2 linked regions of the Danio rerio genome follow. The protein of the gene in region 2 interacts with the protein of the main gene of each other region in a biochemical or structural test. Links are inferred from orthologs where the notes say so. Each region holds a gene or a part of one and is shown on either strand. Other genes may lie near its edges.

Region 1 (3,456 bases), on a different chromosome or scaffold from region 2:
CGGGTTTGTCATCTTCACAGTGTGTGTAATGTCAGGAGGCGTGGCTGTGGACGGCAGGGGAGGGGCTGTTCTCAAAGCTATTATGCCAGGGGTGTCAAACTCAATTCCTGGAGGGCCAAAGCCCTGCACAGTTTAGTTCCAACCCTGCTCCAACACTCTTACCTGTAGGTTTCAAACAAGCCTGAAGGACTCAATTAGTTTGATCAGGTGTGTTTAATTAAGGTTGGAACTAAACTGCAGAGCTGCGGCCCTTTTGGAGCTGAGTTTGACACCTGTATATTCTGCTAACACATAGCTTTAGCAGATCACCTGCAGCACAATAAGATGCATCACAGCTGTTTAACATGAGCAGAGGCTGAACACGGCGTCTGGAGACGGTAAAGCTCATCTACACGTGTCGGTGCTCAGAGCAGATCCTGCAGGCCTCTGTTCATTACTCAGGAGCTGCAGTGCAGTCATTACACCACACACACACACACACACACACACACACACACACACCGCTTACTCCGGCTGGAGAATACACACCACACACTGAAGACGTGCTGCTGTCCCTCTGCTTACTAGAGCACCTGACCAGAGACCGAGAGTGACATGGCATTAGCATGAACACACACACACACACACCATCTCACCCGTTGATCATCATCACTCCTCTAGATGTGATGGTAAGAGCTCAGGAGTCTGCAGTGTGTGTGTGTGTGTGTGTTCTGGATGTGTTCAGGGGCGTTCAACTGAAGTCCATGTGAGTATAGTTTGAAGAATCAGTAAAGAGGAACAGTGAAGTGCTCAACACACACACACACACACACAGCAGGATCATTGCAAAATAATATTTATTCAACATCAGACACAAAGCTGAACAGAAACAATCAACAGGTCTTCAACATCCTGTCACTAAACCAACACACACACACACTTTCTGCAGATCTGCTGGAGCTCCTCTACTCGACTGCTGCTGCTTCATCCTGTGGCGGCTCATACTGCAGCAGCTGTGGAGACACACACACATACACACACACACACACACACGAGATTTGGCTAAGCTCATGTTTAGCAGAGTAATGTGTGAGGGAGCCACTATGTGTGTGTGAGAGAGAGAGACAGAGTACACAAGCACACCTGTCTGTGAGTGAGTGAGCATGTGTGTGTAAGAAAGCTAGCATACCTGTGTAAGAGTGTGTGTGTGTGTGTGCGCTCACCCTGCTCTTCAGCTCCTGGTTCTCCTCCATCAGCTGCTGGTGTTTCTGCTGCAGTGTGTTCAGCTCCTCCCGCAGACTCTCCGCATCCTCCGCCTCCACTCCCGAAACCCCCAGATGATGCTTGATGAAGCTGAAGCGGCTCGTTAAGGTTGGGTTAGTTAAGATAGGAGGAGGCTAGTTTGGGCTATTCTATCTCTTACAGCAGCGCTCATGAATTTGAATAAAACATTGATATTATTCACAAAGATGAGCACAAACTCAGCAGACAGCGGGAAACATGGCGGGGTGAGGGTGTGTGTGTGTGAGGATACTCCAAGGCATTGTTGGGCTTCTCCGTTTCCTCGTACAGCGCCACTAAGACTGAAACGCAGACATCAGATTAAACACACGCTGAGGAATGATATTCATCATCATCATCATCATCATCACGGGCTGAAACTGCCTGGACTCACCGTTGGTCAGGCTGTCGAGGACTCCAGCTTTCTCCAGATATCTCCTGAACTGCTCACGCTTCGACTCGGATGCCTGAAACAGAAGAGAAACACACATTACAGAAACAGTTCATCAGGCGGTGTTGTCTACAGCAGAGTGAGCTACACACACACACACACACACACCGCTGGAGCTCTCCACACTCATCATTACAGCTCCAGCTGAAGCTCATCAGCTCAGAGAAGACGCTTCGCTCCAGACACCACACACAAACACGCATATAAACACACACACACACACACACACATAAACACACAAACACACATACAAACACACACGGGCAGCGCGTTTCTTTAGCGCTGGTTTAACACTGGTCTGCGTGTGGACCGTCGCCTGAGGCAGACAGGAATGAAGGAACCTTCAGCGCGGGTCTTCAGCTCCTCTGACTGAGCTCAGCTGCGGACGCCTCTCAGCGCTCTCCGTTTCCGGTCTCATTAAACGGCGTGTCTAAGCTCGACTTTCAGCGGTTAGCTTGTTTGTGTTTGTGTGTGTGTTTGTTTGTTTGTTGTTTACTCACTCTGTAATGCGCCATCGCGGACGACAGACACCAAATGTTTGACTCGCTGATAGACTCTCGCGTGCACATGCGCAGAGGAAAGACGGAACAAACACACACACACCGTCACCCAGGCAACGCTTAAAGGGGCGGCAGCGACATCCATAGATATATACACTAGATATCGCATAGGGAGCCTGAGCATGCGTCAATAGTGCCGCCACATTGGTACAGTGCTCCCAGGACAATGTCATTCAAGACAGTGTTATTACGTGAAGATGCGGGACTTTAGCGCTGTCTACGGGTGTAGTAACGAGCAAACAAAGAAAACAAAGCACAAAGGCAGAACATTTCATAGGTAAGATTAAGTTTTTTACGTTTTTGCATGTTCTGAACTTTTGTGCTAAACAGGTAACGTTATTGATGATAATACAGTCACTACTGCATTCACCATACGGCAAAGCAGCTCCAACTCGCACTAAACACTCGGCTTATGCTAGTTTTGTTGAATAAAATCAGCAAACAATGCAAAAGAAATATGAAAACGACATGCTGCGCTGCCAGAAACATGTATTACTGTCGGCAAGTGAACGAGTCGCTCACCCTCACAACACGACACACCACAACACGACACACCACAACACAACACACAACACGACACACCACAACACACCACGACACAACACAACAACACGACACACCACAACACAACACACAACACGACACACCACACCACACCACGACACAACACAACAACACGACACACCACAACACAACACACAACACGACACACCACACCACACCACGACACAACACAACAACACGACACACCACAACACAACACACAACACGACACACCACACCACACCACGACACAACACAACAACACGACACACCACAACACAACACACAACACGACACACCACAACACAACACGACACACCACAACATGACACACCACAACACGACACACCACACCACAACACAACACACCACAACAACACGACACACCACACCACAACACAACACACCACAACAACACGACACACCACACCACAACACGACACACCACAACACAACACGACACACCACAACACACCACAACAACACGACACACCACAACAACACGACACACAACACGACACACCACAACACGACACAACACACAACACAACACACCACAACACACCACAACACGACACAACACAACACACAACACGACACACCACAACACACCACAACAACACGACACACAACAACACGACA
Region 2 (3,820 bases):
GAGGTCATGAGATGGGATGCGCATCACCCTCTTAAGGCCACACTGTTGGACAGACAAACATTGAGATGAAGGACATGAAGTTATGGTCATTTATTCCTCGCCAAAACGTTCTGGCTTTCCACCATGCCTGGAAAGTGAAACACTTTGATGAAGCCGTGATAGACGCAAAACATGACTTCTCAAGTCAGCAGCAGCAACAACAACGCGCAGTTTCTACCGCACCACAGTTTTCTTCTTCAATGTACTTTATTACTACAGGTTCTTCAAATCCACAGCAAGATAATCCACAGTTGTTTTTCTTTTTGTGTGTGCTGGAAGGAGTCTGATTGGACGGAAAACATGATTAACCTTTATTTTAGTTACAATATTTTAAATTTACAAGAGCACAAAGTCAATAACACTTGAGTCCTTATTGGTTGTTCGGTAACTTGACGATTGGCTCTTTCTCTTTTTTCGTACAGTAAATTTCTTACGCAAGGGGGATAGAAATGAAAAAAGAAAACAGAAAAAGGCTGTATGCAGGGGAAAGCAAATCAAAAAGGAAAGAAGAAAAAAATTTATTCCAGGAGCCAGTGATGCGCACTTCAGGAGGTGGTGGTGGAGGACACGGTGGGAGAGGACAGGACTGAACCTGCAGATATCCATGAGTGGTGATTATTAAGGGGCAGGTGGGCCATGAGGTGAGTGAGGAGAGCAGGGCGAGGAGCTCTGGAGGATCAGAAACTGTCCACCCAGGTGCCGAAACCTCGCTCTGCCAAAGTGCGATTGAGCAGGACCAGCTGCAAAAGAAGGAATGGAGTATCAAAGTTATATCACATTTTACCATTCTAAAAGATATGGAATGATAAACAACCTGCTGTGCTTTAAACATTTCTTCAAATAAAAAACTTGAAGTAAATAAAGAATAAAAAAATATCAATAATAAAGTAAATAAATAATCATCCATCTATATACACATACAGGGGTTGGACTGAATGAAACTGAATCACAATAAATCATTAGTATTGGTGCAGGACCTCCTTTTGCAGCAAATAAAGCATTAATTTGTCTTGGGACTGACAGATACAAGTCTTGCACCATGGCCAAAAGGATTTTTAGCCATTCTTCTTACAGAATAGTAGTCAGGTCACTATGGCTACGTTCACATTACGAGGCTTAGTGCTTAAATCTGATTTTTGCTCAGATCTGATGTTTTTGCATGGCTGTTCACACTGCTCTTATAAATGTGGCCAATATCAGATTTGCAGTGTGAACAGATCATGGTCCTAAACTGACCCGCATGCGCAAAAGTGCATTACAAAGAGCACAAAATTATGCACCTGTGTGTGCTGCATGAGTAAGCACGTTGTCAGATCATGCTTATATGATTATTACCCTTTTCACAGACAACCGTGGTTTAATTCATGAGCTGTAAATGATTGCTCAGCCACTACTAATGTGTATTTCGGCAATTGAGACCTAAAATAAGTCTCCTGTGATAAACAAAAAAAAAAAAAAAAAAACACTGATCGTTTGTGATTTATGAAGCGCGGTGCGTGGCGCTCTGACCACAGGTGTAGTGAACTCATCAAGGGTTAATGAGCAGCCGCAGACTGAGCTGTGAAGGCAGAGTTGGTTTATCTCTGTTTGAGGAGTTACTTAATTTTACTTCGTTATAAACAGCAGACACGTGCAGAAGGGCGGTTTGGGTGCTCGAGCACCTGCCCTTTTTTTCTCTCGGAGAGAAAGTTCTTCCTCATTTGCACCCGAATCCCCTATCTGTAACACCCACAACGCTTTTCGGCTTCGCAATCAACCCGTGCCTCAATCGTTAACCAGATTAGTTAACAAGCACCAGTTATGCCTTCAAAATCTTTTTCAACATGAACAACCAACTTTCTGTGGTACTGTAATCGCCCTGTGTGCCATTCTACTGTGCTGCTGAGAGGTAGATGATGTCTGCAGCACAGAATGATGACGCATGTCACTCAAAGATTGTGTAAAAGTCACATGAAATCCAACATATCCGTTCACACTGCGGTCGCAGTGCAGAACATCAGATCTGTGTCTGATTTAAGACCACATATGAAAGTGGCACAGATCTGACCTGAAAAGATCAGATTCCATGCGGTTCGGGCTGTTCACACTGTCATCACCTGTCACATGAGGGGGAAAAAAAATCTGATTCGTGCCACATTTACCTGCAGTGTGAACGTAGCCTATGTGATGCTGGTGGAGGAAAACCTTTCCTAACTCACTCCTCCAAAACACCCCAAAGAGGCTCAATAACATTTAGTTTGGTGACTGTGCAGGCCTGCCATTGGAGATGTTCAACTCAACTTTTTATGTTCATCAAAGAACTCTGCCACCAGTCTTGCTGTGTGCATTGGTGCATTATTATCCTGATATACGGCACCACCTTTAGGATACATTGTGCGAACCAATGAGTGCACATGGTCCACCAGAATGGTTCAGAAGTCCTTCACAATGACACGGCCATCTAGCACAAGTATTGGGCCTAGAGAAAGCCACGTAACTGCAGCCCAAAAAAATCACTGATTCACCACCATGCTTCACTATAGGAATGCAACAATCTGGGTGGTATGCTTCTTTCTCCACACCGTAACTGTCCCAAATATGGAAAAGACAGTGAAGGTGGACTCAGAGAACAATACATCTTTCACATTGTCTACAACCCAAGATTTTCGCTGCTGGCACCATTGAAACTGACAGTTGGCATTGGCATCAGTGACCAAAGGTTTGGCTATAGCAGTCCGGCCATGTATATTGACCCTGTGGAGCTCCTGACGAACAGTTTAGGTGAAAACGGAGAGTGAAGATGCACATTTAATTTTGTTTCTTGAATACAATCCCGGGTTAGCACCCAGACATCCCTTTCAGACAACTTTCTCTTGCATCCACAGTTACTTCTGTTGGAAGTGGCTCTTTTTCTTGGTGGTATGCTGACATTACCCTGGATACTGTGGCTCTTGATACATCAAAGACTTGCTGTGTTGGTCAGATACACCAGAGGCAAGGACCAACAATTTGTCCCACAAACGTAACCTTTTCTTTGCTTACTAAACCTTCACGCTCTGCTCTTACTGGTGGAATGTGCCATCAATGAAGATTAGTCACTAGGGTGTTCAATTTTAGCCATAATACCGCAAACACTAAACTGGCCAGTGTTCCAGTTTCATCATCCAAGCCCTGTATATATCCACTTCAGCTGCTGACTACTGTGTGTATGTGTAAAGAGGAGATAGATTAGCACATGTAGACGGATGTAAAATCAGATATTTTTACCTCCTCTCCCACCATGTTCCACATGTGTACTAAAGGAAGTCCTGTATTATTGTCATAGTTGGTGACCTGCATGAGAAAATTGGCCATTAAATTATGTTACTTGTAAACAGCATCAACATAAATGTCATGCATTAATGAATGATTTAAAGACTCACTTGTGCCAGCAATGGAACCCCTCTCGTCATCTCTTCCAGTGCAGAATTGGCCTCTGCTGAGAACCGATCCTCTCCTAATGAAGACATAAACAACAGTGAGATCTAGATAGAGCGAAATGATGACGAACTCAACTTATGACATTTAAAACAAGGCACCTGGTAGTGGGGCAATGTTGTCCAATAGCACTTCTGTTCCTTGGAAGGGTAATGTCACAAAGTCTGACCTGAAAAGCGAATTGAATTAACTTATCATTTAATTTAAGGCCATAACAAATATGATTTTTTAAAATATGTAAAATAACCAATCATGATCAGCAATTCACCATCTGTGACAGAAATATTCTCATAAAATGTTAAACACCATAATTCTACATGCATAC

The links.
Region 1: the proteins of akap1b (region 2) and mycbp form a complex in vitro, tested with the Homo sapiens proteins (2 studies listed by BioGRID). The link is inferred for Danio rerio from reciprocal best matches to the Homo sapiens genes AKAP1 and MYCBP.

What each region holds. Positions count from the first base shown.
Region 1 is NC_133194.1:33,067-36,522, reverse strand, and holds mycbp (C-Myc-binding protein), read right to left. Parts: upstream 2,237-3,456; 5' UTR 2,227-2,236; coding exon 2,212-2,226; intron 1,728-2,211; coding exon 1,655-1,727; intron 1,563-1,654; coding exon 1,514-1,562; intron 1,333-1,513; coding exon 1,203-1,332; intron 993-1,202; coding exon 945-992; 3' UTR 820-944; downstream 1-819. UniProt on the Homo sapiens protein: May control the transcriptional activity of MYC. Stimulates the activation of E box-dependent transcription by MYC.
Region 2 is NC_133190.1:33,440,257-33,444,076, forward strand, and holds the end of akap1b (A kinase (PRKA) anchor protein 1b), read right to left. Parts: intron 3,665-3,820; coding exon 3,597-3,664; intron 3,515-3,596; coding exon 3,441-3,514; intron 3,352-3,440; coding exon 3,286-3,351; intron 780-3,285; coding exon 717-779; 3' UTR 610-716; coding exon of another isoform or gene 376-609; 3' UTR 327-375; downstream 1-326.